3 linked regions of the Arabidopsis thaliana genome follow. The protein of the gene in region 1 interacts with the protein of each later gene in a pairwise test. Each region holds a gene or a part of one and is shown in the gene's direction. Other genes may lie near its edges.

Evidence for each region.
Region 2: the proteins of GATA16 (region 1) and AT3G52250 interact in a two-hybrid assay, tested with the Arabidopsis thaliana proteins (one large-scale study listed by BioGRID).
Region 3: the proteins of GATA16 (region 1) and AT1G36060 interact in a two-hybrid assay, tested with the Arabidopsis thaliana proteins (one large-scale study listed by BioGRID).

The regions. Positions count from the first base shown.
Region 1 is NC_003076.8:19,980,785-19,990,288, reverse strand, and holds GATA16 (GATA transcription factor 16), read left to right. Parts: upstream 1-4,500; 5' UTR 4,501-4,813; coding exon 4,814-4,834; intron 4,835-4,928; coding exon 4,929-5,078; intron 5,079-5,191; coding exon 5,192-5,440; 3' UTR 5,441-5,663; downstream 5,664-9,504. Other genes in the region: AT5G49305 (importin subunit alpha), read left to right, coding at 1-48, 113-295, 376-530, 607-685, 982-1,109, 1,198-1,495; RLP56 (receptor like protein 56), read right to left, coding at 6,420-8,503, 8,651-8,725, 8,838-8,912, 9,098-9,172, 9,316-9,471. UniProt on the Arabidopsis thaliana protein: Transcriptional regulator that specifically binds 5'-GATA-3' or 5'-GAT-3' motifs within gene promoters.
Region 2 is NC_003074.8:19,371,491-19,385,101, forward strand, and holds AT3G52250 (Duplicated homeodomain-like superfamily protein), read left to right. Parts: upstream 1-4,647; 5' UTR 4,648-4,896; exon of another isoform or gene 4,897-4,992; 5' UTR 4,993-5,138; coding exon 5,139-5,316; intron 5,317-6,027; coding exon 6,028-7,164; intron 7,165-7,391; coding exon 7,392-8,462; intron 8,463-9,025; coding exon 9,026-11,610; 3' UTR 11,611-11,879; downstream 11,880-13,611. Other genes in the region: AT3G52230 (uncharacterized protein), read left to right, coding at 1-119, 755-907; AT3G52240 (transcriptional regulator ATRX), read right to left, coding at 1,412-2,650, 3,020-3,329, 3,560-3,731, 3,827-3,992, 4,069-4,192, 4,278-4,309; AT3G52260 (Pseudouridine synthase family protein), read right to left, coding at 11,962-12,018, 12,124-12,220, 12,426-12,561, 12,966-13,035, 13,160-13,227, 13,344-13,419, 13,543-13,611.
Region 3 is NC_003070.9:13,450,456-13,460,761, reverse strand, and holds AT1G36060 (Integrase-type DNA-binding superfamily protein), read left to right. Parts: upstream 1-4,425; 5' UTR 4,426-5,099; coding exon 5,100-6,044; 3' UTR 6,045-6,266; downstream 6,267-10,306. Other genes in the region: AT1G36050 (Endoplasmic reticulum vesicle transporter protein), read right to left, coding at 7,079-7,401, 7,721-7,798, 7,885-7,951, 8,034-8,126, 8,212-8,265, 8,358-8,409, 8,486-8,553, 8,640-8,819 and 6 more.

The DNA.
Region 1 (9,504 bases):
ATCTTAGTCACGCTTCTTGCTTCTTCGACAGATAATGTCCGTGGACAGGTAAAGATTGTACCTATGTAGTAGATAAGTATGAATGATATGAGTTTTGACATTATTCTTGCAGGCTATATTGGCACTGGGTAATGTTGCTTATCATCCAATACACCGTGACTATGTTCTTCAATGTGGGGCATTGACGCCACTGCTGATTAGGCTGTACAAGGATACTAACTTGCCGATGCTCAGAGCTGCCATTCGGACTTTGGCTTTCTTGTGTCGTGGCATGCCTCCGTCTACCTTCAACGAGGTCTTCTTAATTCTCTCTCTCTCTGTTTCCTCTATTTGTATGCGTCCAATACTTTCAACATATGAAGCATTGATTAACAGGTGAAGCCTGCACTTGAAATACATCTTAATTCAAGTGATAAAGAAATCTTGAGATATGTTTGCTTGGCAATTTCGCATCTGTGTTATGGTTCAGTAGATGGAATCCAACGTGTGATTCAAGCTGGTTTTGTCCCAAAACTAGTTAGCGTTCTCCGGTTAGTATTTCTCAAAATCCTTTGTGACATCTGACATGTTTGGATACTGAAGGCTGACAGTTTTTTCTTTTTTCAGACGCCCTTCCCCAGTTTTATCTGCTCCTGAACTTCGTACCATTGGGACTCTAGTTACTGGAAATAATCACCAGAGCCAAGTATGTAATTCATGTTCCACTTATGTTGTCCATCTTGTGGAGTAATCGTTTATCAAAAACGATAAATCTGTCGAAAGCTTATGTTTATCACAATGTCTATAGAATGTTTAGTAGAAGGGATGCAGTGCTTACTTTGTTATATGTCCCTTGTTTACAATGTTATGATTAGATTTTGTAACCAAACAACAAAGTACGTAGACTCTGAATAAACCTTTTTGAACATATTCTTTAGGCTGTAATCAATTGTGGTATCACTTATTGTTTTCTATTTGTATTTCTTGCAATGATGATAACAGTTGCTTATTGATGCAAATTTGATTCCATCGTCGGTCAATCTGGCTCTAAATGCTGAATTGGACATAAAGAGAGAAGCTGTACGGGTAATTTTAAGGGCCACCGTAGGTGGTTCGCCTAATCAAATCAAGTACATCCCTGTCTTCTCTCTTTATCACTTTTTTCATGCGTTTTGATTGATCATCAAGTAACAATCTCCATATATTGGTGTGATTCAGATACTTGGTGCAGCAGGGTTGCACAAAACTTCTATGTGATCTCCTGGTATGTCCAGATATAATGATCATCAAACTGTGTCTGTATGGGTTGAAAAACATTTTGAAGGCCGGAGAGTCGGAAAAGAACAGAGGAGACGTGAACTATTATCGCCAACTGATTGATGCCGCGGAAGGGGTGAAAAAGATTAAGAACCTGCTAAAACACGAAAGGAATGAGATCTACGATAAGGCTTTGAATATTCTGGAGACATACTGGGATGTAGAGGATGATGAGAAGACACAAAAGCCTCCAAGGTGATGATGATCTTGTCTTTCAGTTCCAGTTCCTGTTGGAGGATTCAACTACAGTTTTGTTTTGTGAAGTTTTGAGACTTAGAGTAGGATTTTTTTGCCACCTTCACATGTATTCAACCTAAAGCTAGCACAAGTGATGGATTACACAGTAGGGGCATCGGTATTCTTGACATGGATGAAACTTTTGATTACTATTCATCTTTCCAAGTTGATAATATAATCTCTCTAGGACATTTGGGTATATGTTTGTTTATTCACTCTCATATAGATGAAGTTTGATCTCGAGATTTGGCATATTTGTGACTAGGTTTTAGAAATGTCTTGATCATTAGACGTAGTAAGTTGTAATATATGTCTTGTATTCAAAAAACTCAGCTGCATACACTTAAGGAATCGGCAGCTAGCAATAGGCTATGTACCTGAACGTAAATGTTAATCAAGAGATTAGGACCAATCGTGAGTCTTAATCACATGTATTAAAGATTAAGATCTTGTCTCCGGTCCAGCTTCTTGCTAGTTATCTGAGGAATTTGTCCTAATCATGCAGTTGTGTTTCATTGAAAGAAATGGCTACCGTTTAGGTTCAAAAAGAGCAACATGCTTCTTTCTTGGATGTTTTGAGAAACGTGCTTCTTTCTGTAACTTACAATCTTTCTTTCTTGGATGTTTTGAGAAATGGAGACTGGCCACTCGTGTAAAGTTCTCTGATCAAAGGGATAGAAAAGATTCAGAACCTGCAACAACACGGAAGCTATGAAGTAGACAAGAAGGCTTTGAAGATTCTGCAAACATACTTGAAGAAGTCTTGAGATATGTTTGCTTGGCAATTTCCTATCTGTGTGATGGTTCAGAAGCTGTTATCCAAAGTGTGATTGAAGCTGGTTTTGACCCAAAATTAGTTGAAGTTCTCCAGTTAGTACTTCTCATAATATATACACATATTTAACCCTTTGTGCAAGTTTGGTTTAGATACTGAAGACTGACAATTTTCTTCTTTTGCAGACGCCCTTCCCCAGATGTGCTTGCTCCTGTACTTCATAACATTGGGACTATAGCTAGACAATATAATCACCAGAGCCAAGTATGTAATCATATTCCACCTACGTTGCCACCTTGTGGAGTTATCCTTTATCAAGTTAAAAAAACTGTCAAAATCTATGTTTATCATAATGTTTATATCACTATACCGCTTTTAGTAGAGAGGATGGAGTGCTTGCTTTGTTATATGTTCCTTGTTTACAATGTTGCGATTAGATTTTGTAACCAAACAACGAAGTGCTCTGAATAAACCTCTTTGAACATATTCTTTAGATTGTGATCAATTGTGGTGTTTTACCCATTCTTGCCAACCTGTTTACTCGAGACTATGAGAAATACATAAAGATAGAAATTTTCTCAACAATTTCAAGCATCACTGCAGGCTTTACAGAACAACTTCAGGTGAGAAGCTTTTGTTGCAGAACATATACAAATTTACCCTTATGTTGCTATCACTAATTGTTTTCTAGTTGTCTTTCTTGTACCGATGATAACAGTCGGTTATTGATGCAAATTTGATTCCACCGTTGGTCAATCTGGCTCAACATGCTTAATTTGACGTAAAGAAAGAAGCTGCATGGGCATTTTGAAATGCCACCGTGGGTAGTTCTCCTAATCAAATCAAGTACATCCCTGTCTTCTCTCTATTTGATATAGCTTTTTATTGATCACTAAATCACAATCTCCATATACTGGTGTGGTTCAGATACTTGGTGGAGCAGGGTTGCACAAAACTTCTATGTGATCTCTTGGTATGTCCAGATGTAATGATCATCTCAGTGTGTCTTGATGGGTTGGAAAACATTTTAAAAGCCGGAGAGGCGGCAAATAACACAGGAGACGTCAACTGTTATCGCCAACTGATTGAAGATGCGAAAGGAGTCAAAAAGATTGAGAACCTGCAAGAACACGAAAGCGTGGAGATCTACAAGAAGGCTTTGAAGATTCTGGAGACAAACTGGCGTGTAGAGGATGTTGAGATCTGGCTTTGATCTGGTTTTGCAGCTGTGAGAGAACTAAGTTGCAGTTCCTGTTGGAGGGATTCAACTTCAGTTGAAAAGTAAACTCAAAACTACACAATCTGATATTAGAGAATAGAGACTATAAAGTAAAAAAAAGCCTCCGACATGTAACCAAAAGCTTGCTATGAAGGGTCAAACTCAATGTGGTTCCATGGGAGACCAAGAAGTCCCTTTCTTTCTACTCAATCAATTACAAAATAAATTTACGCTGTCCAAAAAAAGAGAGCAAAATCTTATGTTTTTCTACATTAAAAGATATGCCTTTAATATTAAAACTTATTTCGAGTATTGTCACTTTGACCAGGAAATTGTTGAGTCAACATTACACACAAGCACACTCTCTTATTTTGGAACTATGCAGAATAAACCAATAATATATGGTCTGAATTCTATCTAGTAGTAGTCTACATGGCTTAACCCCTACCACTCTCTTTGTTTGTTTCTTCCTCTTTATAATCCATCTATCTTTAGTATCTAAAATTTCACTAATTTTGGTTTCCCAGTGGATCTTCTACTTAGGATATAACCAAAATGCATCTATATTTAAAATTTACATACACCCAACATAAAAAAAATTTGTGATTTTGCTTACTTTGCAATCTGATCTACACAAAAAGAATTGAATTATGACATTTTTTATCTGTGAGATTTATATGATTGTCTAGTGCTGTACACTCCAAAAAAAAAAAAAAAAAAAAAATCCTTAAATCCACACGGAAGAAAAGAACCGTTAAATTTGTAGAGATCGTTAACGAACGGCTACGATCAAATACATGTGAATCATCATCATTGACCATTCGAAGAAACCTTACTCTTTACCGTATCTGATCAAACAATGGTCAAAGTGGCGCCCTTTTTCTTTTCACCAAATCAGACAATAAGCGAAAATACACATTTTCCTCAAAAATTCCATATTTTGGCGGGTGGCTTCTTCTGATAATGGGGACGAATAAAAGGGCAGTTTCGTCATTTAAAGACCAAATCCTAGGGTTTAATTCTGAACCAATTTATAATCGCGTTTGGTTTTTCTTTGGATCATTGTCTCTGTCGGTTCGACCCTTTGAAAACCCTCTCTTCCTCGCTGACACTCTTCTTCACTCTTTCCAAGTCCTCTGCATGTGAATTTGCGAAGAAACGTGATCTTCTCTAAACCCTAGTAACCAGATTGATTCTGATCCTTTCCTTGATCTCTGTTTTCCCGATCGCGGCGCCAAACTTCAACCACATCCTCAAAAGTCCATTTCAATTGACGATCTAACAGAATGCTAGATCACAGTGAAAAGGTAAAAATGATTTGCTTCTCTTCTGATCTCTATTTTTTGATTCTGACGACGATGATCTAATAATAAGCTGATCGCTCTTCTGTGTTTGTTTCAGGTCTTATTGGTTGATTCAGAAACCATGAAAACAAGAGCTGAAGATATGATCGAACAGAACAACACTAGTGTTAACGACAAGAAGAAGACTTGTGCTGATTGTGGAACCAGTAAAACTCCTCTTTGGCGTGGTGGTCCTGTTGGTCCAAAGGTTCATACATAAACCCTAATTTCACTCTGATTTTGGGGAAAAAATCGAGGTTGATCATTTGATCTTGTCTCTGATCTCTGATTCTGATATGTTTTGGTTTTGGTTCTGTGTAGTCGTTGTGTAACGCGTGTGGGATCAGAAACAGAAAGAAGAGAAGAGGAGGAACAGAAGATAATAAGAAATTAAAGAAATCGAGTTCTGGCGGCGGAAACCGTAAATTTGGTGAATCGTTAAAACAGAGTTTGATGGATTTGGGGATAAGGAAGAGATCAACGGTGGAGAAGCAACGACAGAAGCTTGGTGAAGAAGAACAAGCCGCTGTGTTACTCATGGCTCTTTCTTATGGCTCTGTTTACGCTTAGTGCTTTTTTTTCTTCTGGATCTTACCATGATTAGGGTTTGGAGAGCAATGATGATGACTAACAACAACAACAAACTAAATGTGTACTTTTTGGTAATTGTTTGGTTTTTGTGTTCTTTCAATCATTTTCTACTCTTTTTTTACACCTATGAATTTTGGGTATCTCGATGATGTGAGATTTGGTGGTAATCAAAAACGTTTTGGAAATTGTAAGAAGATGAATGAAAAAAAAAAAAAAAATCGGTGGTTATTACTAGTTTTTTATTTAATTTTTAAATAATTGTTCTGTGCTGAGATTTTGTCTTTATTGCGACAGGAATGTGACTTGCCTATCTGTTAAGCACAATCTTTGTCAAGTCAAAAAAATAATTATATAACTTAACTTTAAATTGAAAAATGGTTTAAATTTCGTCAAATTGTTATTTTTTAGTTTTCTTTTTCAACATCAGATTGTAATGTTCTACTTTAATTCTGCTGCCATTTTAAGGATTGATTGACTCTTCAATCGTATTTGGTAATTTAACAGTGGAGTTTTTTTAAAAAAAATTCATTAGTTCCGTGGGCATCAAACAATTCTAGAAGTAGGGAATAATCATTTTTGTACACAATGAGACTAGCATTATAATTATGTCAACATTAAAACCATAGTCATTAATAATACATGTCCTTTAGTTAGGTAACACAGATCTTGGTCTCTGCCCGCATGAAAAATGTTTATCTTTTTTCCTTTAAATCAAGTCCAATTGCCATTTATACCAATATCACTTAACTAACTAAACCAGATTTTTTAACCTTATTATCAATGATTTGATCATTAACCATACATAGACGAATCTTTTGAAACAGAGAACCTGCATCAACTTACATTCCTCTGTCACAGCAAGTAAAATCCAAAGCACATATATACTTACAAAAAAAGACAGAGGATTGAAGCCTGTTTTGCTTGATAAGGAAGACGTAAGAACTGTGCTGAAATGGTTTTAAGCCAACTTACTTTTCGCAGAGGCAATGAAAGCATCGACAAGGCGGAGCCATGCTCGACGCCAAGAACAATCAACACACATAAGTACAAGAATACCTATCAATGCAGTCACATAAGTTCCAGCAGTACTCCAATAGAAGACCAACATGTCAATAGCAACTTCTTTGTCATCTTCTTCTCCTCCATTGGCATTTTCCTCTGAGTTCTTCTTAGTTTCACAGCTTGTATCGGTTGGCGGTCCACAGAGAAGAGGATTTCCTAAGTAGCTGTTCTCGTCGAAGGTGTTAAATTGCTTTCCTTGGGGAATGATGCCTGATAAATTGTTGTAAGAGACGTTGAAGATAGCAAGAGAAGTGAGGTTGGTTAACTGGTGAGGAATGCTTCCTTGTAACATGTTATAAGAAAGATCAAGGCTCTCAATGTCCTGCAATTTAGAGAAGCTATCCGGTATATGACTCGACAAGAAATTGTGAGACAAATTCAGGGCTCTTAGTTTGAAGAGATCTCCAAGCTCTGCTGGGATAACACCACTTAATTCATTGCTTGACAGATCCAAGCCATACATAGAATTAAGTGTTCCTTCGCTGAACTGAAATGCTCCTATATAAGAATCATACCTTTGCTTGGTTGCGAATTTTACATCAATTTCAAAATAGTTACTGTAGTCTAACCTGAAATTCTCAACCACAAATGTGGATTTGTAGAATCCCAAGTAAAAGCTCTCCAATGCAACTGCAACATAGTAGTTAGTAATCTCCTCTTTTCTCGCCAGTCCAAATGATAAATTATTGAAACATGAAGGTATGAAGCCATTGAGCTTGTTATCAGAAAGATCTAAAAGTCTCATCTTGCTGAATTCACAAAGCGTACTTGGAATATATCCCGTTAAACTGTTCCCCCTCAACAAAAGAAAACTGATGTCTTGGGTATCTACAAACTGCGGTATATTCCCAGAGAGTTTATTGTTCCGTAGATCAAGTATCTGGATGCTTCCCAAAAATGTGTCCGGAATTGGCCCTGTGAAGTTGTTGTTGTGTAGGAACAAAACATTATCCAAACTAACATGTGATGGTAAGGCTCCAGATAATAGATTTCCAGAGAGGTCCAGAAAATTAAGATATTCAAATACCAGAAGCAAAGGTGGTAGCTCACCTTCTAAGAAATTGTTGGACATGTCAAGTATACACAAATCAACCAAGGTAAGCAAACCAACTCCGATCTTCCCAGTAAATAAGTTGTTATTGATTCTCAGCACGATCAATGAAGTGAAGTTTGTTTGTCTTGGAAGAAAATGGCCGCTAAATTTGTTGTGAGACAGCTGCAGGATGCTTAATGAAAAACAACTTGAGACAAAACTTTGAGGTAACTCCCCTGATAAATTGTTATAAGACAGGTCCAGGAATGAAATATTATACATTTCACCCATGGAGGATGGGAAATTCCCTTGGAACCCATTATTGGAGCCATTCATATGTACCAGATTCGGAAGCACACGACCAAAATTATCAGGGAACAGTCCACCAATATTATTTTCTGAAAAATCCAAAACCTGCAAATTATGCACTGATGTAGGCATCTGAAAGATGGTGAATGAGTTATTCTTCAACTGTAGGACTTCAAGTTCTGGATTATTCTCCAAAAGCCATGTAGGAATGATTCCAGATATTCTATTGCCAGATAGATCAACGACATGCAAGTTCTTCTGGTACATGAGAAAGTTAGGGATTTTCTCCAAGCTGCAAAGTCGTAGTACAAGAACACTTAGTTGAAATAATGGCTGCCAAGTACTTTCAATCTTTACTTGTACCATATCATCTTTTGATGAAAATATGAACACCTTGAGCTTTGTGAGGTTGGTAAGTGGATTGAGCGAGAAAAAGCCTTCAAAGCTATTATCTGACAATGATAGATATTCGAGGGACTCGAGGCTACTGAAACTGGGTGGTATATTTCCAGTTAATTGGTTTGATGAGAGGTCAAGAAACCGTAGCTTGTTCAAGTTACCAAAACAAAGAGGAAGCTGACCTACAAAATTAATTCCTCTCAGATCAAGCTCCTGCAAATTCTTCATTTCACAAAACACTGCGAAAAAGAAAGTTTGGAGAACAACAAGATGATGAGAATAATAAGAGTAGTTGTATTCCTCTCGAGAATTCATGAGACACTTTTCAGAGTAAAAGTTATGATGCCCATATTGATAATCTTGGAGGTGAAGCAAAGACAGATCACCTTCTATTGGTATAGGCCCGTCGAAATAATTATAACCAAGACTCAGGACTTCCAAGTTAGTCAAATTCTTTAATCCTGAAATAACGTAAAGACATAAAGGATATACCTTGAAAAATGATCTTGGGAAAAGGGATTCACATCCATTCTTAGTAAAATAAAAAATAACGTTAAACTTGAGCAAACTTGCCTTGCCATTCCATTGAGCTATAAATTCCATTAGAACTTAGATCTAAAGCTTTCAGCTTCTTTAAGTAAGGAAACTCTGCCACAAAACAAAGAAACCAAAAGCAAATTAGGCACCTACTACAATTAATATGGATATGATGTTCTTAAAGATGGCATAAATAATTTCAATAACTATGTAGAGGGTTAAATGTGTTAAAGTTCTACTCTAGAAAAGAAACAGACATATTTTATATGGACAGTCACCAGTGACGTAAATGATACCTCTTACAGGCATGGAACCATCAATTCTGTTTCCACTTAGATCCAGCAGTTCCAAGTTTGTCAAGTTTTTAAGTTCTGAAAGGGAGTCCAAGAGAATAGTAGACTGATAAGAAAATAAAGAGACAGCAAATTGTAGCGTATATATACTACATAAAAATCAAACAATCTAACCAATGATACATCAGCAATAAGTAGGTGTACTAGAAGGAGAAACATACCTTTAAGGGGAATAGGGCCATACATATTGTTACGCCGAAGAGAAAGAGTTGTAAGTGATGTAGCAGCATTAAGAAAGGGAAAGATGCTGTTGTTGAATTCATTTGAAGAGAAATTCAGAATCTGCAGGTTTCTTAATCTCCTTAGGCTTTTATAACCTGCAAGAAAATAAATTCTTGTTAACAAAGTAT
Region 2 (13,611 bases), on another chromosome or scaffold:
TGAAATCGACCTACGAGACTGTCACTTTCCCTTACAATCCACCCAAAAGCGCAGAGCCAATCAAGTTTGAGGCTGAGCCCAGCTCTGGCAGGACTTCCAACTCTGTCATCCTTTGGCAGGTGATTTTGTTAAGATGTTTATATTTTAGAGGGTTCTTTGATGAAAAATGATTTGAATTGGCTTATAATTTGGGGTTTGGTGAGAGGTGCTTTGTTATGTTATTTATGAGAATTGTAGGGACATGGTTGTTTATGGTAGATGTTCATAATTATGACTCTATGACTCAGATTATCACTTCCTGTTTACTAGAAACTATTCTGGCTTTTTTTCTCTATCAATAGGCAAATAGTTTTCGATGTTTTCAATGTATTTCATTGGTTGCAGTCAGTTGCAGTGTGCTACAATGAATGTTGAAAATGGTTTCAGTTTTTGTTATGCCTTCGATTCCTGGTAATGCTTTAGATGACCTCTAACAATTAGCTTGATGTTCTGTCGTTCATGGAGTAGGAAGCATACTATTTTTGCTCCTTTCAATTGCAAGTTTTGTAGTAGTCAGAGCTATCAAAGGCTGACTTGATATATGAATAGCATGACTCGAGAATCGAGATGTTTTGGTTGTGGTGTGCTTTATTTTCTCATCAATGGACTCCTGACGTATACGAAAGAGTTTTGTTCTGATGATTGTTTCAAATCCTGGAAAAAGTTGGATTCTTTCATGGTTAATTTAGTGGAGTATTCTCTATAACTATTTCAGGTATATGCACTTGGAGGGTTTCTTGTCCTGAAGTGGGCCTGGGCAAGATGGAATGAAAGGAACGAGAGAAGTGACAAAAAGGAGGCGACGGGTGATGATGATCAGAAAGATGATGATGAGGATGATCAATCATCTGATGGGCATGAAGACTAGTCATATTACTTGAACACGATGAAAATGTTACCCACTTTGGTTCTGTATAGCAAAAACACCATAAACTTCAAAATGAAGATTTCTTATTTTCCATTGTATGTACTTGAATCTTGAGTCTCATCTCCTTATCTAAGGGGACTCGAAATCTCTTCTCATGCTGGCAAGAAGTTTTTTTTTTCTTACTGGACAAATCTCTTGTTGTTGCTGTGCAGTGTCTCTTTAGTTCGTGACTTGTAGTTAGATCATTGCTAGTTAAGTTTCAAGAGATTTGTCATGTTAAATATCATAAACCGAACAAATGAACACACAAACATTATCAACAAATGGGATTTCAACAAACGGTCCTATAATGACCAAGTTATGAATCACATACATAACTTTTGCCTCTTCTATACAGTATTTTGACGTTACACAAAGCTGATATTAGTCTACAGTGTATATAACAACCACCACACTCTACAAAGATCCAACAATCATATCACGGCTTCACAAGGATCAACAGAATCATTCTCGCCTAAATAAGCCATCATCTGAACCACTAGTAGGAGACAGCCCAAACGGGCGTGTGTAATAAGGAGTCGAATACAATTCTCTACTGCTTAGAACTGAATCAGGATACAAGCTTCGAGTAGGTGTCACAGGGGTATTATATGTACTTGACGATACTTGGTTACCTTCAAAACCAGATGTTCCACCAGAGATTGCACTGCCTGAAACTCTTGGTATGCCTTTATTAAGTCTGAATCCTGGAACATCAACCATCGGTGGACCATCTGCCCTGAAGCTGGACCATAGTTTTGGTCCACCGATGTATGGGGTGGTCGAAAGTCGGTCATCCACTGACAAAGGAGGACTGGTTTCTAGTTGGCTTTGGAAGCCAGTATTTAGGAGATTGTTTGTGGCTGTTCTGCTGAAAAGCTGATCTCCAGGTACTAGGGGGACGTCTCGCTCAGGCATATGGGTAACCATGGCGTTCTGAGAACTCGAAGCTAGAAAAGTGTTCCTATTTGAAGCATCAGATGTAAAATCGGTGGGGACACGGAAAAGTCCAGCAGCACAGATAACTGGAAACTCTACCATGGACCCGACACTGGAAGCAGGGAGAGATGGTTTAGTACTAAATGCTGGTTCCATCGGTAGTGCATATGTGTTCATATATGAACCTGGTGTTGAAGGATATGAGCTTTCAGAATGACAATCCGGGTTTCTGATATGTAGGCTATTGACTTTCTCTTGCAGAGACAGCTTCGCTTGCTTTAGTGCGGTCAGTACAGTTTCACAAGTATCAGGCTTCACATCTTTCACTGAAACTAATGGATCATCTACTTCATGAATGGTAGTGGTAGTACTGCCAAAGAAACCACCTCTCGAGTTTGGTTGCGTTACAGGAGGCGACCGAATAGTTGATGAAGAATGCTCATTGATACCTTTACTGCTCTGTGGTTGGGAATACTCACTTGTAGGGCTCTCAGAAATATGTTTTCCTTTGTCTCGAGAAGAATAAGCATCTTGTTCCACAGATCTGGAACCACAACTATTGCAGCACTTATCAGGTGACGTTACTGAATTATCAGGTGAACCATGCGACAAAGTTTCAAACGATTCTCTAAAGTCAACTTCATTAGCTATAGACCTTGTATCACGGAGTGAAGGGACTACTGTAGAACCTTGAAGTGGAGATTGAGCTTTTTCTCCGTTACTTTCATCCGTCACATCTGAATGGTTTCCAACGTCACATAAATCCTGAAAGATTGGACAAGAAGTATTGTTCAGGAATTCCAGTGAATTAAGCGGAGACTAAGTTCAACCTTTGTGAACTAAGATATCTTCATAGATAATGTCTTCAGAAACAATATGGTTATATAACAGTTAATACAAAGAAGAAAAAAAGCATACATTTTTCATAACTTTTTAGCACAATGGAGAGAAGACAGAATAAAAGAATCAATGTATACGCATGCAAACCAAATATAGAAAACTGCAGCATATGCACAATTATCAACGCCACATAAAAGAAACTTTGTTGGTTGATTCATATAAACACGAAATATACCATAATCACAATTGATGAAAACAATTTCTAAAGGTCAAAGCCTGAGATATAGGGCATACCAGGGCAGATGATTTATTCTCTCTGAAATTTTTCTCCCATTCCCTTTGAGTCTCTTCCATTTCTTCAAAAGATCCGATAACTTGAGCACGGTTTTCTAACGCTCTCTCCAAGTTGATGTCCGTACTGTTTCCCTTCTCTAAACCATTTGAATTTGACAACTTGTTCAAACTATCGTCTCCCTTCACAACAGCAACATCCACCACGGTTCTAGATACTTGATCATTCTTTTGAGGAAGCATTTCAGTGCGAACTCCATTTTCTTGAAATTCAACCGGATTTCCATCTCTCTTGTAATCCTCAGATACATTTCTGGAAAGTTGAAAAATGTTGGTTATTCTATTACACAACATACATAAGCAAGCTTTACAATTGCTTTACTAATAAAGCGATTTATGATGTATATAATTAGAGAGACGATTTCTAAGCATATAACCTTCAATCTCAAATTTCTAAGCACTGTGTTTCTAGGCAATGCTTGCACAATTTGTAATAGTAAACCACTCATAAATCACTGAGCAGCTAAAGATAACAAAACAGACCTTGCTTCACCACGTCTAATTTGCCGACAAGATCTTCCTTGACGATGTCTCGGTGAGGAAAAATAAGCACACTCGAAACCTCTGTGATGTCTCCTATTCCGGTTTTCCTTGATCTTGTCAGAAGAACCTGGTTCCCTCCTGCGACCTTTCCAGGACAAACTTTTGCCTAACACTAAAAAACAAACAAATCTCCGACACTGAGAGTTGCTCAAATCTCATTAAACCCATGAATCAGAAACTTTCCTCCTATCACATAAAAACTCTAACCTGAGTTACTCTGAGAGTAGCATTCATGATCAGAGTTTGAATCATAATCATCAGACACATCATTATACCCATTTTCCTCTAAGATCGCAAGAACATCAGCAGTTGCCTGTTCAGCCTTCTTCCTCTGTAAAGATACAATCTTGAGCTGTTCCTCTAACTCAGCTACCTAAAGATATTAAGACAGGACATAAGACTAAAGAACATTTCACTGGATCATCCCTACAAATTATAAAAGAACATACTTTATCAGCGAGACCATCAAGCTTTGCTCTAGCACTCTTGGAAACAGCTCTTTCAGCTAATAAACGTGCACGAAGAAACTCAATAGTCACTGAAGTAGGATCTTGTGCCTCTGAATCAATACACCTATAAAAATGTACCAAAACCCAAATCTAAATTTCGATTCGCAAAACGATCTTATTCATCTGGAAAAAAAAAGACAGAACTATACCGATGATGATCTAACTTGTCTTGATTCGCCATCGTGTAGACGAACCAAAAGATCTACGAACTTCGAAGATCGGTGTGAAGAAGAAGACGTCTCTCTCTTTGCTTACACAAGTCAATGAAGATAGTTTTTTTTTTAATCTTTCACTAATGTATTTTACTCTCTTCTCATTGGTTGTAAGTATTTACTAATTTCGATTTTATACTTTTTTGTGTAGTAGACAAAGTCATGGATTTGGATTGAGATTTACAGAAAAAAAAAAGTAAAAAAAAAAAATGTCTTTTTCAGAATAGGAGTAAAATAATATAAATAGAGCGGACGCGAAAAATAAAATGAAATAGAGTTTAATTGGAATCTTTAGGTTACAGGGATTATTTTCTCTTTCCTTCTTCTTCTTCATTGTTCTCTCTCTCTCTATCTCTTCTTCTTCTTCTTCTTCTTCTTCTTCTTTGGATTTTGTGAGCTAATAAACAGAGAGGAATCGCCATAAAAAAACCTACTTTGTCTTTCAACACCGAAATTAAAGGAAATCTCTTTTTCTCTATTGAGCTTTTTTCTTCAGCGGTGAAATCTCCCTTCCTTGTCTCTCAGTAGTGATTTTTACATACAGCTCCGCTCTCAGGTTTCTTCCTCTTTTGATTCTGTTTCCGCTCTTTTTGGGTTTACTTCGGATTTTAATCTTCAGATTGACGAAACCCTAGTTTGATTTTGGTTTCAGAAACGACGAGTCTTCATTGATTTGGTTTCCCCACCAGCTCTTCTTCTTCTTTTTTTGTTCCGAGACCTTTTTGACGGAGGTAGGTACGGAGGGAATCTGGAGTTGGGTTTGAAGGATACTCTTATGCGATTCTTCTGGATAACTTGATGCCGCAGGATCACGCTTCGTGGGATCGGAAAGAGCTCTTGAGGCAAAGGAAACACGATAGGCCTGAACAATCTTTTGAATCCCCGCCTTTTCGATGGAGGGATTCGCCTTCTTCTCACCATGTTCCTCGAGAGTTTTCTTCTCGTTTGGGATCTGGAGACTTCCGCAGACCTTCTTGTAAGACCTCCTTTTCTCTCTCTAATTTAGGGCTTTGAATTCTCCTGCTCTGTTTTTGGTAGAGTCTATTTTTCTGTGGATTTGTTAGATATCCACTTTTCCTTTTTGGTTCTATAATTTTTTTTGAATTGATTTAGAGGCAAATCCTTGTTTCTTAGATTGAGTTCTCACTGTGTCATGATAGCTTAGGGTATTTTTGGAGCATTAACACAGCTCTTAAGATTGATAGGAAGTGAATTGATGAGGTTACTCTTCAAAGGAGCAATTTTTAATACTCAGGTAGATTTAGTTTCATTGCAAGAGGACTTTATTACCTCAATTGTGTTTGTGTTTTGTGTTCATGAATCTTAAAACGGATAAAAAGTCCTAGCATCGTGGAGTGTTGTTAGTTTTAGTTTTACATGTTGTAGATTTAGATGAAGATAGCTCCTACTTTTGCAGGTTTCTTACTTGTATAATTTTTCCTATTAGTATTGAAACCCTGTGTGGGCGTAATGACACTTTTTTCTCCTAACTTGACTTCGTGTTATAATGATTCTAAGTTTGACTTCCTTTTGGAGAATCTTATACTACATGTTTTGACAGCAGTAAAAGTCTAATTTTTTTGGATAGATGTCGTTTTTAGTTTCACAAGTTATATATTTGGTTGAATACAGGTCTTGCTTTAGTTTGTGATTCTCATCTTCCTTTTGTCTTCAAAATTTTCTGAAGGTCATGGTAAGCAGGGTGGACGGCACCAGTTTGTGGAGGAGACTAGTCATGGATACACATCTTCTCGGTCCAGTGCCCGAATGTTTGATAATTATAGGCCATCAGCATCGCGTGGAGACTGGAGATATACCAGGAATTGCAGGGATGATAGAGTTTCTGTAAGCCAAAAGGAATGGAAATGCAATACATGGGAGATGAGCAACGGATCTTCTAGAAGTTTTGAGAGGCCATTTGGTATTAGAAATGGTCGGAGGTCAGTTGATGAAAGGCCGCTACATGCTTCAGATACTCATTCTACCGTGGTGAACTCTTTGGATCCAGCCAACTCGGCTCATTATCTGGACAATGAGATCAGTACCCCAGTACGGTCTCTTAAAATTAAAAATGAGCATAAATTTTCAGATCAAAGGTTATCACTTCCTTCAGATCCTCATTCTGAATGTATTAGCTTGTTTGAACGGCCTTCTTCTGAGAACAATTATGGCAATAAGGTTTGTTCACCAGCAAAGCAATGCAATGATTTGATGTATGGTCGAAGGTTAGTTAGTGATAATTCATTAGATGCTCCAATCCCCAATGCAGAGCTGGAGGGGACTTGGGAACAACTTCGCCTGAAAGACCCGCAAGATAACAATAGTTTACATGGTATCAATGATATAGACGGTGATAGGAAATGTGCAAAGGAGAGTTCTCTGGGAGCAACTGGGAAACTTCCACTGTGGAATAGTTCTGGGAGTTTTGCATCTCAGAGTTCAGGTTTTAGTCATTCAAGTAGCTTGAAAAGCTTGGGGGCTGTTGATTCCAGCGATCGGAAGATTGAGGTTCTTCCTAAAATTGTTACTGTGACTCAATCTTCTTCAGGAGACGCTACTGCCTGTGCCACAACTACTCATCTTTCTGAGGAGATGAGTTCTAGAAAGAAACAACGTCTCGGGTGGGGTGAGGGACTGGCGAAATATGAGAAAAAGAAAGTTGATGTTAACCCAAATGAAGATGGAACAACATTGATGGAAAACGGTTTAGAGGAACTACATTCGTTAAACAAAAATATTGCTGATAAAAGTCCCACAGCAGCCATTGTTCCAGATTATGGTTCCCCTACAACACCATCCTCTGTAGCTTGCAGTTCATCACCAGGTACAATACAATTTGTTAATACTTCTCTCTGCGTGCTCTTCTCATTCCTGATCTATTTGGAGTTATCTGCATTATTTTCATATTACTTGAATTCTTCCATCATGTATCTGTTCTTGTAAACACTGATTTTGTTTTTCTCTTTTTATCATGTCTTCCATTTGTTTTTGTTATCTTCTGCTGGGGACAGTGTAACTCACTCGTAATTTTATTCTTTTGTGTACATTCAGGGTTTGCTGATAAATCATCTCCGAAGGCTGCTATAGCTGCTAGTGATGTCAGTAACATGTGCCGTTCGCCTAGTCCCGTGTCTAGTATTCACCTTGAACGATTCCCAATCAATATCGAGGAGCTCGATAACATCTCAATGGAGCGTTTTGGCTGTTTACTCAATGAGTTACTTGGTACTGATGATTCTGGTACAGGGGATTCCAGTTCTGTCCAATTGACATCAATGAACACATTACTTGCCTGGAAAGGTGAAATTTTGAAAGCTGTGGAGATGACTGAATCAGAAATTGATCTCCTTGAAAACAAACATAGGACACTAAAGCTTGAAGGTAGAAGACACTCTCGTGTTGTTGGACCCAGTTCATACTGTTGTGATGGAGATGCAAATGTGCCCAAGGAGCAGGCTTCTTGTAGTTTGGATCCTAAGGCAACAGCTTCTTCTGTAGCTAAAACACTGGTGAGAGCTCCTGTGCATCAGGCTGGTTTAGCCAAGGTTCCTGCTGATGTTTTTGAAGATAGTCCTGGGGAAGTTAAACCTCTATCCCAATCTTTTGCCACTGTTGAAAGAGAGGAAGATATACTGCCCATACCATCTATGAAGGCAGCTGTTTCTTCGAAAGAGATTAACACACCTGCTTTTGCCAATCAGGAAACTATTGAGGTTTCTTCTGCTGATGACAGCATGGCCTCCAAAGAAGACTTGTTCTGGGCTAAGTTATTATCTGCCAATAAGAAATATGCTTGTGAATCATCTGGAGTATTCAATCAATTGCTTCCAAGAGATTTTAATTCGTCTGACAACTCAAGATTCCCTGGCATATGTCAAACGCAGTTTGATTCTCATGTCCAAGAAAAAATTGCAGATAGGGTAGGCCTATTGAGAGCTAGGGAGAAAATTTTACTCCTTCAGTTTAAAGCGTTTCAGCTCTCATGGAAGAAAGATTTGGATCAGCTAGCTTTAGCAAAGTACCAATCAAAGTCTAGCAAAAAAACAGAACTATATCCGAATGCAAAAAATGGAGGGTATCTGAAGCTTCCCCAATCTGTACGCCTGAGGTTCTCTTCTTCAGGTAAAGTTCTCAAACCTCTTTTCTCTTCTATTTACTCTGATATATTAAGCTTGTCGTGGTTTGTCGCTGTCTGGGATGAAGTTTGGCTTTTATGATGTGTTAGTTGTAGAGACTTGAATTATGTGATTTTTCAAGGGCGTGAGGTGTTGAGAGAAACATATACAACTCTTGAGAACTATTGTTACAGAGCTGTACATAGTGGTCATAATTCATTATTTGCAAGCTAAGTTCAGAGTCATTCCATGCTAACGTGTTTGTTGGATGTTGATAACGCTATTTTAATTTTATGTTAGATGTTGGTTTTATTCTAGTATTATATCCACTGTAATATTCATTTTAACATCTAGCTTGTTTAACGAGGAGGTATAGTTTAAGCAGATGCTTATTTCTTGTCTATCTTTTATGTTGTCGTAGGTAAATATTTGTCTTAGATGCTAACTAGAAAGTATATCAATACGCAGGAGATGATTGCGGTGTAAAAATTTGGGATAATGATCACAGATGAATTGAAGCCTTTTTTCATCGAATTTAAAGTTAATAACTGTTTTACACTACCTGTGCAGCTCCAAGAAGGGATAGTGTAGTCCCCACAACAGAGCTCGTAAGTTATATGGAAAAGCTACTTCCGGGTACCCATCTAAAGCCTTTTAGAGACATTTTGAAAATGCCTGCTATGATTTTGGATGAGAAAGAGAGGGTGATGTCGAGGTTTATTTCTAGCAATGGACTGATTGAAGATCCATGTGACGTTGAGAAGGAAAGAACAATGATTAATCCTTGGACCTCAGAGGAGAAAGAAATCTTTCTGAATTTGCTAGCAATGCATGGGAAGGATTTCAAGAAGATTGCTTCATCTCTTACCCAAAAGACAACTGCGGACTGTATTGATTACTACTACAAAAACCACAAGTCTGATTGTTTTGGGAAAATAAAGAAGCAGCGTGCTTATGGTAAGGAAGGGAAGCACACCTACATGTTGGCTCCACGAAAAAAGTGGAAACGTGAGATGGGGGCTGCCTCTCTTGATATTTTAGGGGATGTCTCCATTATAGCAGCAAACGCTGGAAAGGTTGCATCAACCAGGCCGATCTCTTCCAAAAAGATCACCCTTAGAGGTTGCAGCAGTGCTAATTCATTGCAGCACGATGGAAATAACTCTGAAGGGTGCTCCTACAGTTTTGATTTCCCACGTAAGAGAACTGCTGGTGCAGATGTTTTAGCTGTTGGTCCTTTGTCACCAGAGCAGATAAATTCTTGCTTAAGGACTTCTGTGAGCTCTAGAGAGAGGTGTATGGATCATCTGAAGTTTAATCATGTCGTAAAGAAACCTCGGATATCTCATACTCTACATAATGAGAACAGCAATACTCTACACAATGAGAACAGCAACGAAGAAGATGACTCATGTTCGGAAGAGAGCTGTGGGGAAACAGGTCCTATTCACTGGACAGATGATGAGAGATCTGCCTTTATACAGGGTTTTTCGCTTTTTGGCAAGAATTTTGCTTCAATATCAAGGTACGTCGGGACAAGATCTCCAGATCAGTGTAAGGTTTTCTTCAGCAAAGTTCGGAAATGTCTTGGGTTGGAATCTATAAAGTTTGGATCTGGAAATGTAAGCACATCCGTAAGTGTTGATAATGGCAATGAGGGTGGTGGGAGCGACTTGGAAGATCCTTGTCCTATGGAGAGTAACTCTGGCATAGTGAATAATGGAGTTTGTGCCAAGATGGGTATGAATTCTCCTACCTCACCTTTTAATATGAATCAGGATGGTGTTAATCAATCAGGCTCTGCAAATGTGAAAGCCGACCTTAGTAGATCAGAAGAAGAGAATGGGCAGAAATATTTGTGTCTGAAAGATGATAATAATCTCGTGAACAATGCATATGTCAATGGCGGTTTCCCGAGTCTAGTTTCAGAATCTTGTAGAGATTTGGTAGATATTAATACTGTTGAGAGCCAGTCTCAGGCTGCCGGAAAAAGCAAGAGCAATGATCTCATGTCAATGGAAATCGATGAAGGTGTCTTAACATCTGTCACTATATCTTCCGAGCCATTGTATTGTGGCCTAAGTGTTCTTTCCAATGTTATTGTGGAAACCCCTACAGAAATCTCACGAAAGGGCTCAGGAGATCAAGGTGCTACAATGCCTAAATTTAGTTCAAAGAATCAAGATGGAGTGATGCAAGCTGCAAACAGAACCAGAAATTCTGGCCTTGAACCTGAAAGTGCACCTTCAGGTTTCAGGTACCCTGAGTGTCTTCACCATGTTCCGATTGAGGTGTGTACGGAAAACCCTATAGGCGTCAGTGCACCACGAGGAAATCCAAATTGCCATGCAGAGTCCGAGTCAGGAAATTCTCTTGTTGGACAAGTTGACGAAACACATGACTTGGGTTGGCCCAAGAACAATCTGGAATTGGATGGGAGGCTTCAGGTTTTAGGCCATGTAAACCCTGAGCAGATTGGTCTACTAAAAGCGACCAATACAGAATCTTGTCAAAATCCCCAGAGATCAGTCACCCAAGATCTGAGCAGGATAAGTAGATCAAAATCTGATTTGATCGTAAAAACCCAACGTACAGGTGAAGGCTTCTCACTCACCAAGTGTACTAGTTCAGCTCCTAAGCCTCTGGCAGTATCCCATAAAGAGGGCAGATCTGGTCATAGCAGGAGCCATTCGTTTAGTTTGTCTGATACTGAGAGACTCCACAAGAATGGAGATGTGAAACTGTTTGGTACAGTACTTACTACTGATGAGAATGGAATAAAACAAAAACACAATCCATGTGGAATTGTCAGGTCATCATCAACCTTGAGCAGGGACCATGATACAAGACATCATTACATTAATCAGCAACACCTTCAGAACGTTCCCATTACGAGCTACGGTTTTTGGGATGGCAACAGAATTCAAACCGGGCTCACATCTTTGCCAGAGTCGGCCAAGTTGCTTGCAAGTTGCCCTGAAGCATTTTCCACGCATCTAAAGCAGCAAGTTGGTAACAGCAAAGAGATTCTGGTGGATGTTAATGGTGGAATTTTGAGCTTTGGTAAGCATAACGAAGATAGAGCTGAGTCCTCAAGCGCTAAGGATGAAGGTAACATAGGAGGGGTAAATGGTGTAGCAGAGGCAGCCACGTGAATGAAAAAGCTTCTTAGGGTCATGATTAGTTTGTTTTGGAGGATTGGCATATTCTTTGCTTGTCAACCTATCTGTATTATATCTCTTTTAACATCTTTTTTTTTTAATTTAGAATGTCAATTAATATAGGCATTTTTTTTTTTTTTGGTTCAGCTAAAGTTAGGTGCCTGCAGAAAATTCATAGCTGATGTTTGTATTTGTAATGTTACTGATAATAACAGAGAGATCTAAGAGCTAAGCTTAGCTCTCTGTATGTTTTTCAAAAAGGATAACACTTGATGAACAAGCATGTCTAATGTTGTACAGTGAAAGACTTATGCAACTTCACTTGCAGGAGGATAAACCTTTTTCTTACGTCTCACATCTTGTTTGGAGAATTGGTGGCAGCGGTGCTACAATTTTTACTACCTGCAGAATGGTAAGGACATGAACAATTGGATTGTTTAGATAAGGACTGAGAGATCTCGTAAAGAGCCTGACCACTGAGGCTTAGGTATGATCTACGTGAGTTACCTTATGAGTGTTCAGCAGGTTTGGTAGCTCTACTTGATGAGCATGCAGATGATATCCACAATCCCCAGGAACAGCCTGATTTGGCCTTCTGTAACCTCTGCAATATATTCAGTCATAATGACGACACATGCCATAACAGGTGATAGCATCTAGTTAACAGACCAATTTACTCCACATGAAACTACGTACTAGATTGCATCGTACAACATTGGTTAGCTCAAATATTGTTCAATTTCCAAGGACTGTTCATCTCAAGGTATACAGAAACTATAAGTATGAAGAATGATGATCTAATTTTGTACCCATCTTCGGCAAAGGCTGCGGCATCATCTACAAGATCGGGATCAAAGCACTTTGGTTGGCCGCCCGCTACATAAAGAGGGTCCCCTGCACTTTGATCAGCACGTAAGCACTCAGATCCAGTAAACATCGTCATCTCTATCATAGACCACTGCCAAAAGAAAACTTATGTGTAGCAAAAAGCTTCCTAGACTATGCCATAAGCAACTCATGTCCTAGATTGCAACTATATTGTATATGGCTCATACAATTATAACTAGTTGAATCATCAAGTGGGAGTAAGATCTTTTCATCCATCAAAACATGGTTTCATCAATTTGTATTCAATGTTTTACTAAAGTTTTCCTAACACCGCCGAGCAGTTTGGTTGTTCCATTATTGCTTAGTTATCTGGGAAAAAAACATTTGTCTATCTTGTCTTACAAAGCTACGTATCCAACTTTTTTTATTCTATACTAATAATGAAGGACTATAAATGCACAAACCACGCATAATACCAGCTCAAAACGTGTGACAGACCCGAAGGAAACAGAAGTTTTTACCTACCAAGGGATGTCCCATGTATGCAAGATGAATCCGGATTTGATGTGGTCTTCCAGATTGTATCTCTACCTGTTTTGCATAAAAACAAGATGATTGTGGCTAACTTTCGTTTTGGTTTTACTATCTCATTTACTTTCTGGGTAAACCTTGTGTGACATATGACATTTGGAAATAAGATGGAACAGAAGAAAACCTTAACAAGCGAGCAATTTTTTTCCCTGTCCCTCTCCAGAACAAATACTTTACTGAAAGCAGGTTTCCCTGACAAGAGCAAAAAACATGCAAAAACAAACAAAAAACGTTATAACGACAACAAATTATATTTAGTGTGAATTAATCTGTTGCTCTAGCTAATGGTATAAGATAATATAACTAACCTTCCGGAGAAGCAACATATAATCCTTGTGCGACCCCAGGATATCGAACCACTCCTATAGGCTGTTTGATTACTACCTTCAGAATGTAAATAAAAAAAGGAGCATTGTTCATAGATGTTATCTCAGTTGCATATTAAGGTATACTGTACTTATAGTATTTGATATTAATTCTCAGCACAAATAATAAAAATGGCCTTGCCTCGTCTTCTTCAACTATACCATCTGCTAGTGCTCGATATATCTTTGATAGTTTTCTTCCTGTTCCACA
Region 3 (10,306 bases), on another chromosome or scaffold:
CTTAAAGTTCATTACTGATGGATAAAAGTTGTATAACACATTTGACTTATAATTAAATACAAAAACGCGTTTTTGTTCTTCACCAATTTACCACCAAACCCGGGGAAAAAAAGTAAAGAGGATAACTTATACTAATATAATAATATTAGTCACTAATTGCGTTTAGTAATGAATAGGCGCCACTTATGATCGTATCTCCATCACTTGAGAAACACTTAATACTGTAATAAGTCCCTGGTTATATCATACTACAATAATAGCAAACTTGATATTGGTGTTGGCCTGTTGGGGTCTCCCGTCCAACACGGTCCAAGAATCATGTCCAATTAACACTAATTCTCCTTTCACCCCAACTTTTCCAACTAATCTTATCAACATTTTTAATTTCTTCCTGCTACTTATATTCAAGAAAATAATACCAAACTACAAATGCACTTTAAAGATGTGAGCAGAGTTGAAATATGAGTAGTGTTTCAAGAAGATCTTAAATTTCCCATTTTTTCTTTTGAACAACTAAGAGGTTCTGCCATGAGACCGTACATCTTCCCAAGTCGAATACTGTACCAGGCAATTTTATACAGTTTTCTCCCAAATACCACCTGAATCACCAATGATCTCTAGACTTTGTCTGAGATACTTTACGGGTTGAGTTAATGGCACTTGATAAGAGATTCGATATTATAAAGGCAAAGAATGAAGATAAATTCGAGCAAGAGTTTAAGAAAAGCAACTCATTAATTTTTTTAATTCTTATTAGAAAAGTTTCCTTAATTCTATGTAGCAATTTAACAAATGACTTTCTACTCTAAGAATCAGGTCAACGACTCTTTTTCGAAGACAATAATGATTTTTTGTTTTTATTGTTTTTGAGTTAATATACGCATACTTATAATATCATGAGAATATTCTTAACTTTTTAATATTGAACATGTATTTAAAGAAGAAAACTGACACAAAAATATTAATAAACAATCATATTTATATTTCCTTTTTATGAAGGAATTTTCATCCCTTCACTTTTTTTTTCTTTTTCATACCTATCACATTTTGATCATTATACCATTCCGTTTGCATGTTGGAATTTTAAAATGTTGCTATTGACCACTTTTTGTTTATTGTATTTTTATGGGTTACAGCGGTATATCTTTTACCATAATAGTTAGAGATTACAACCCACAATCCAGGATATCTTCTATGAAAGGTGTAGTAGTGTCATAATAATAGTTAGGGATAGCTTATAGGGGTAAGAAATAAAAATATTAATGGCCTGATTGGTATAAACACAATTTGGCTACGATTGTGGGAGTTTGCAGAAGTGTGTGGCTGCAGTTTCAAATGTTAATAAGCATTTTGAATGACTAGTTAATTTAGCGGTTTAAATTAATAAAAAATTATGACTAGTTAACTACCGGATACAATAACTATTAAATCAAAAATGATTAATAAATATAATATTTATGCATTTAACAGTTGTACATCCGTTGTTATACTTGATAATAAAAACTTATATTATGATGATAAAATATAATTAATAATAAAATTATATATATATCATAATTAGAGTCGTGTCAAGCTTCTTTGAAAATGTGAGCCCGTACCTAATTTTTAAAAAAATTATTTAGAAACATTTTTACATTGGAAAAAAATATAAATAGAAAAATATGAAAATCTATTATAGTGTTCTAAAGAATTAGAGATTTACAATTTTAGTTTGTTTAGTAAAAGAAAACTAATGGTTTACTGGATCATAAATAAAATACAGAATTGTTTATTTAAATACAAATAGTCTAATTTTCAAAATTTGATAAAGAATACAGAAATATAAATAATATACATTATATAAATGATATAAAAAATAATAATATAGAAAAAACTGAACATTTATAAAAGAAACGATGTTATTTCTTAAACGTAAGGAAAAAACATATTATGACCAAATATTGGGAATTAATCATTATGAACTCAAACTTAAAACGAGACACTCAAATATACAAAGTTTTGACCAATTGAACTACCTATATATCTGAAATTGGAGCCTTAATATTCAATAGAAAATTTGGGGTTTGAGGCATCCGCCTCTTTTTTATAAGCACAGCTCTATTTGTAAATTTCATAGAAATATGACAAACTAATTCATAAATCTTCCAAATTGACAATATTATTACAATACTACTTTTATTTATTATCTTTCTTCAGTTGGGATTGATACACTGATATTAGTAGGAAAAAGTATTTAAAATTTTGAGAATGAACATTAATATATATATGATTTGATAATATTTATTTATTTGTTGTTTAAATGACTTTTTTTTGTTCTTTTTCTTTTTTGCTAACTGTCTATAATCGCAAATGTTTACAAAAAAGAACTTTTAAAATTCATCGATTTGAATGGTTTAGAATGGTCCGAAACTTTTGAAATGTCTATTATTGATTTTAAAAGTTAGCACCGCAACCGTCCGTAAATATAAGATTTGTGAATTGTACTATTATTGATGTTTTAGGTTAAAAATGGTGTGTAAGCAAAAGAAAAGAGAGATTAATTGGGACAAAAAATCACACGCGTGAGTCTTAATTTCGAGGCGACGCCAACGTAAAGTCCAATTTCCCACTTGCAGCAAATTGCGCCTGAGATCACGTGATGCTTTCGTTCTCACGTGGCTCTTCTATCTTGCAACTTAATTATCACTTAAATCACTTATTGAAGAAGGTATTATTTCATCATTAAATTAAATTATCACTTAATTATATCACTGTTATTGTTCCAACGGTATTTGTTGACGGTTGGAGGTTTCGAGCATTATTAAGATGCTAAAATTGTCAAATTTAGTTTCAACAAAATTACTGAATTGAAAAGAGAAAACACTATTTTAGAAAACGTTTTTTTGTTAATGAAGTGTGTTAGTGGTAATTTTATGAAGCCACTCTTTCATTTTACTCATAACATCATCCATTTAAGTTCGGAGAAAATTCAAATGCAAAACATTTAGAAGTATATATTTCAAACATTTTTATTATAACAATAATTTTTCTTAACATTTCAAATATATTTATATTTTTGCGTAGAAATTTGAAAATATCACTTAATAAAACAAAATAATTTCTCTAAAACATCTTAAAGTGAAACGGAAGGAGTATAATAAAAATTGAATATACTTGCATAACAATTGGTCTTAAATGTTTTTCGATAAATCTATTTGTATAAGCATAGTAACTTAATGGTATAGTAGAAGTACTAATCGATCTCAGAAGGATGTTAACACTTTTTTTCTCAACTAATTTTCAACGACTGTTGCAAAAAGAAGGAAAAAACGTAAACACCGCAAAAATGGCAAAAAATGCGAATTGTGGCACTAAGGACATGTGACCTGGTTTCTTTGGCTAAGAACAAATGCACCTTTAACTTCTGCTCTGCATGGAATCTTCAGTCTCCACGTACGAGTCCAAGTGTCGTGCGAATGTTAATATTCAAACTCTACAATAATTATCATCAAACAATATAACCAATTCAAGTATTGATTTGTTTCCAAAATAACCGTTGTACTTATGCTTACGCAAGTCCGCAAGTTCATATTTGATATGCTTCTGTCTAGAACAGCTCTGCCCACAGTACTCCGTAGTTCGTCCGTACTCGCTACCAAGAAGAACAAATTCAACCGTATAAATGTTTATGTGGGTTTTGACCCAAAACACTTTGTCATAATCCTTGCTCAAAAAATCGTTAGGCGCTAGTCGAACGATGAGGATAGGTCTATCACCTAACAAAAAAATCAGAGATTATACGAAAATTAATCGGAAATTAAGTTTAGGGTTATTTAATATTTTTAAAACATATTCCTCCATTACAATTAAGAGAATTATATAACATTGTTTTTAGAATTGTATTAAACACATGAAAACAAGATTTTAAGTTCAAATTTATGATTTTTTCATACAAATTAGAACATAAGTTTGATGTTTTAAATTTGGATATTTAAAAAGTTGGATATTTTTAAATGTTTATCTTAAAAAATAAAAAAAAATGAAAAAAAAGTTTTGGACTAGGCATCCTCTAGACAGGTTTAAGCGGATCTATGATGAATAAATCAGATCAACGATTAATCTTTTCGATTTGGACAAAATTGCGGTAGACTCTATCCGATCAGCCGACTTTTTGAACAAGGGATTCATAACTATTCTTCGAAACATTTCACTAGTTACAACATTTATATTCAGTTTTTATTCAATTATTTTTTATACTTCTTTTTTTATATATATTTGGATCAAATATGTATCTTATATAGTGGGAGTCAAATACATTTTTTTAAAGTCAAATACGTTTTTTTAAAAGTCAAGTACATTATTTTAGGATTATTGATGTACAAACAATATTTTAATCTATCTTCATTGAACAAGCCCTCTATATAAACGGTGAGAGTTGGGTGGGTATTACCAAGGTGAGGTTGAGAGCATCTTCCAAAAGAGAGAGTGTTTGTGTGTGTGAGAGAGAGTGAGTGTGAGTGAGAGAAGAAAAAAAAAATTGAGAGATTAAAATTTGAGTGAAATTAGGGTTTATTCTCTTCTTGCTTTCTTTGCTTCGTTTCATCTTCAAACCAAAAGAAAAAAACTCTTCCATGTCCTGTCTATTCATCAGTCGTCTTTCTTGAGAAAACACAAATCACGATTTTCTTATGAAGTGTTGCTTTATGAGTTTATATTTTGCCAAAACTCATCTAAAACGACAAACTTTTGTTTAAAATTGTATTTGAAAAGTGTTTTCAAGAAAACGATATCCATCAAAAATATTATGATTTTTTCTGTCAATTAATATTCTTTCATTCTTTTATAGAGTTGATCAACTTCATGGGCATTTTTTAGTTCCCTCAAGTTTTGATCCTCTTATTTTATTTCTTTTTTTGTTGATAAATTTATTTTAGTTTTGATCTATGGAGGTTGCTTATTTCAAACCTCGTTGATCACTTTTATTTCTGTATAAACCAAAAAACCAGTCTTTGAATTTTTTCTAAAAAGACAGGTTTTATTTCTTCAACCATTTTTTAATTATAATTTTATATAATCTTGTTTTTTGTAGTACATTTTTTTTTGTATTTCAGGAAACTCCGATGGCGGATCTCTTCGGTGGTGGCCACGGCGGCGAGCTTATGGAAGCACTTCAACCTTTTTACAAAAGTGCTTCCACGTCTGCTTCAAATCCTGCGTTTGCGTCCTCAAACGATGCGTTTGCGTCTGCCCCAAACGACCTATTTTCTTCTTCTTCTTACTATAATCCTCATGCATCTTTATTCCCTTCACATTCCACAACCTCTTACCCGGATATTTATTCTGGATCCATGACCTATCCATCTTCATTCGGGTCGGATCTTCAACAACCCGAAAACTACCAATCTCAGTTCCATTACCAAAACACTATCACTTACACTCACCAAGACAACAACACTTGCATGCTTAACTTCATTGAGCCGAGCCAACCGGGTTTTATGACCCAACCGGGTCCGAGTTCGGGTTCGGTTTCAAAACCGGCTAAGCTCTATAGAGGAGTGAGGCAAAGACATTGGGGAAAATGGGTCGCGGAGATCCGTTTACCCAGGAACCGAACCCGACTTTGGCTCGGAACATTCGACACGGCTGAAGAAGCCGCGTTGGCTTATGATCGCGCCGCGTTTAAGCTTCGTGGTGACTCGGCTCGGCTTAACTTCCCAGCTCTCCGATACCAAACCGGCTCGTCTCCGTCTGATACCGGCGAATATGGTCCTATTCAAGCTGCCGTAGACGCTAAACTAGAAGCCATATTAGCTGAGCCGAAGAATCAGCCGGGCAAAACGGAGAGGACGTCGAGGAAACGAGCTAAAGCCGCGGCTTCTTCAGCTGAGCAGCCGTCAGCGCCACAACAACATTCCGGGTCGGGTGAAAGTGATGGGTCGGGTTCACCGACTTCGGATGTTATGGTGCAGGAGATGTGCCAAGAGCCAGAGATGCCATGGAATGAAAATTTCATGCTCGGCAAGTGTCCTTCTTATGAGATAGATTGGGCTTCAATTTTATCGTGAAAAATTAGGATTCAATTCATTTTTATTCATTTTAACTTGTTTGTATTTTCTTTTAAACTTTAGGGTTATTAGCTGTGCGTAAAATTTGTAATTTAGCATTTTGTATGAATGTAATGCAAGTGTGTAAATTATGGACAGCTCAAGCTTTTTTGTTCATGCCGTACCATGTAGACCCTTCTTCTTTTCTCTTAATTGAAATGAATATGGTTAGTATTACTACTATGAATATATTGTAACACATTAGAATCGTGAAGTTCCATTCTGCGACAGGACCATTGTGCTTAGCTTAGAAATGATTAAAAAGTAAATTAGTCTAAAAGGGAACAATATAGTGAAAACTTAAAATTTAAATTGCTAAATTTCTAGCTTAATATTATAAATTTTGGTCCTATTTTGAAGAAGTCAAAAGAGAAACACAAGAGTGGAAGAAAAGGATCCTTGATTGAACTTTACGTGGTATAAAGATAACCTCATACAAAGTGCCTACGTTGACGACATTCTCATGCTTTCTCTTTAGAATAGACCGAGTGATAGATAATAAGTAAAAAAAAAAGTAAAACAATTATCAAGTCTTTAAGTTAACACAAAAGATTAGATTTCTTTTTTTGTGTTTAACAATGGTAACCAAAGTGAGTTTTTTTTACGAGCAAACGTTGTCAAATGAGAAAGGAAGACTTGGATGATAAAAGTGTCCATGCAAATATAGAAACCAATTGCCAAGCCAAAGGAATGAGAGAATGCACATATATTAGGCTTGCACATTCGGGTACCGGTTTGGGTTCGACTCGAGTATTTGGATTTTGGTTTCGTACTAGGAATCGAGGTACTATTTGGGTATTTTAAAATTTTGTTCGGGATTGGTTTGGTAACCTTCGGGTTCATATCAGTTCGGATAGTTGATATGGGTGAATTGAAAATTATCGGATACAGTTCAAGTTGGTTACTTTATACTCAAATTTATCCAAACTACTCGAAAAGAAAAACCCGATGTTCCCAATCAAACCAGGCAATATAGGTTAAAGGAGATCATGAGTTTAGTTAGGCTTCAAATATATTCGAGTTCCCGTTAATTTATCAGGTATTATCCTTTTTGAACCAATACCGAAAATATATGAAGACAAGACCCAATCAAATGTTCTAGAGGATCCAAAACAGACCCAAACCGATATTTCGGATAGGTTCTGGTTCAGTTCTTCGAATCCGAGTATTAACCGAGACCTAACATATATTGCAATCGGAATTAATATATTCACTAATAACAACTTTCTCGTCAATACTAATAATGATTCTCTGTACTCTAAGCGTTTATTATGGAGACTGTTTTGCTTCTTTTTCTTCCATTCATTGAATCCATACACTACAATCAAAGATAGACTCAAGACTTAACTTCAGATTCAAAACCCATAATATCTTCAAAAGACAAAAAGTCAAAAGACGATAATTGTAACGCACGCATGAGGCTGTCAACAGCTGGATTGACACAACCCAAGACTTATCCTTCAATTTGCATTAAAAGAGTGTAACGTATCAATATGTATATTTTATATAGTCAGCTTAACAAAAAGAATTAAATAAATGACACCATATTACATTTGGAGCATGAATCGTATTATCCGCAAAACAAAAAGAGAGAGACGAAAACCCCAAAAAGGCTTAAAGGATTTAGCTAAATTTACCAATTTCCATCTTCTTCTTGATAGCTTTTTGACCATGGTATATAAACGCGTCTATTATCCCGGACACTGTGAAGACACCTGCGCATTTTTACATGTTTCATTTCGGATTTTAATGTGCGTTAACCAACAAGTGTTGTTATGGTATATAGAGATTAGAGAGATACCTCCAACTATGGCGCAAACATTCGTCAAGAAGTGCAAGAATGATATGTGTTCCTCCGTAAATGTTACCTACGGAAACGACACATTTTAGTTAGGATTATGACTATAAATACGCTCTAAAACTGCAGTTAAAACACACAAATACACTCACCTTGATTGGAGAGAGATCATAGAAGAAGAAAACTCCAGGTAAAGATTGCAGTTGACCTGCTTCTGAGCTCTTTACATGTTCGGTCACTGAGAACTGCCAATTTTACATTTAAGTTAAGATAGTACGCGGAAGAGAATGAATAGATAATGAGGTCGAACAGTTAAAAGCCTTGGTTCACCTGATTCGATTGAATTGTGTGTCCTCTGATATCTGTGTATACTGTTGGTACAACCTATTGAAAGCAGACAAAGCAGAATAGAGTCATCGCGGGTATTTTATAGACGAATTTGAAGTATATGATACAGTGTTTGTCTTGGAACAAACCTTGATAAAGTATTGGTACATAGCATTAGGTGTGTCTTGACTCCACTCGACTCTGCAATTTCAAGTACGTTAGAGAGTATGAAAAAATAAATAGTGTGTGAATGGAATAGACCAGAATGGTTATTTACTTGTCAAGAGGGTTAACGACGCCAGGAAAGTAGTCTCCATAAGTAAGTCTATTGATCTTGTGACTTATCTGCAGGGAGACGCAACATATTGAATTGATATAAGATTAGAAGCATAACGAATGAGTTGCAGTCAATAGGACAAGTCATTTCTTACGTTAAAACTGTCTTTCTGAAAAGCAAGAAGATCGTGAACATGCACGCCCGACTGATGAAAGCTTTTCCCAGGAGCAAAGTGGAAGTTCCCAGCCACCTTATTGACCTCCAAGAACCCATATATATTACACCCTTCACCTTCTTCATCCTTTACTCTTTGTAGAAAACCTTCTCGTTTACACTGAATCACAAACAGATAAGTGAAAAGTATTTCAGCTCGCAGTTGGAAGATGGAAACTCTTTGAAGCATAGTTCAGTTAAGAGCCTCCCAAGTGCATACTAACTAAACAAAACGCACACAAGCCTTGGAGACTCTAACAAAGAATAAGAAAAAGAAACAAGAAGAAAGAAATGAAACAAAACTTGCTACTATCGCATTGAAACAGTGATGCCAGGAATTTAAAAGGCGAAGAACCTTTTCTTAGCAATTTACCTGGTCAATCAAATCTGGATTAGTAACCCCCCAACCTTTCTTTCTATATGCTTCACGAACATCCTCACACGAATTGCAGCAGTCATGCTCTTCCTGCACGGGGAAAAAACATACTTCAGATGAAAGCTTATAAATAAATGAAAGCCAGATTGAAAAAGCACTATCAACTATCCTGAAAATGATAACTATATATAGTACAGAAACAATCCACTATGACATCTGTTTTTGTTTATTCCATTATGACCTCTTGACTAGCACTAAACAATCAAGAGTAATCTGAATATGAACTTGAGAAACCATGCTCCACAAAGTCAAATAGAGAGATAACACAATTACCGCTTCAGCCCCATAGCAAGAACCACAGTAAGTCTCATTATGTCCCAGCCTGCCACCATGTTTCTGCAGTGGGTTTTCAATCTACACAAGCACAAAAAAAAAAGTATAAGACTTTAAAGACCCCAAAAACAAACGACTTTTAATTCTTGACACTACTATTCCATTTGCCATTTGCCATTTGCCTGCAGTTTAATCCTAGCCTAATGACTACAAAACCCCAAAGAATAGAATGGCAGAGAGCAAACCTTAGTAGCGCCTATTCCGTCCTGTCTTGCCTCTATAGTGTTGCCATTAGAATCTAATCTTCTCTTTATGATATCATGTTTCTGTAACTCACACATTTAACAAACTTAATCAACGTCTCAAACACAAAAACTAAGATTCACTAAGCTATAACAGTAACCAATTTTACAAACATACCACGTCAAGATGAAGCTCTCCACTAATATCCATAGCATCAACACTAAGAATCGAACATGCTAGAGCAGGAAACGTAATATCAAACTGCATCATCAATGAAACTTATCAGACATCTCTAATCAAATATAAGCACAAACCAAGTCAAAATCACTATTAAGTAACATTACGTTGATGCGTAACGTCTCTCCCCTTGAAGTATCTACTATAAGCTTCGTCTCGGTGACTGTATGAAGATAAAGACCTAAACAACAGAATCAAAGAATTTCAAAATTACGAAACTGGATATGGAGATTCACAAAATTGGAAGCGAAGTTGTTAATACGTACGGAGCTCGGAGAAGAAGAGAAGGAACATAACAACGGAGGAGAGGAGAGTGATAACTCCGCCGGATAATGTACGGCTGTAAAAATCTTCATTGATCTTAGGATATGCATCTAGATTCCGCAATTTATTCAAGATCCCGGCCATTTTTAAACACC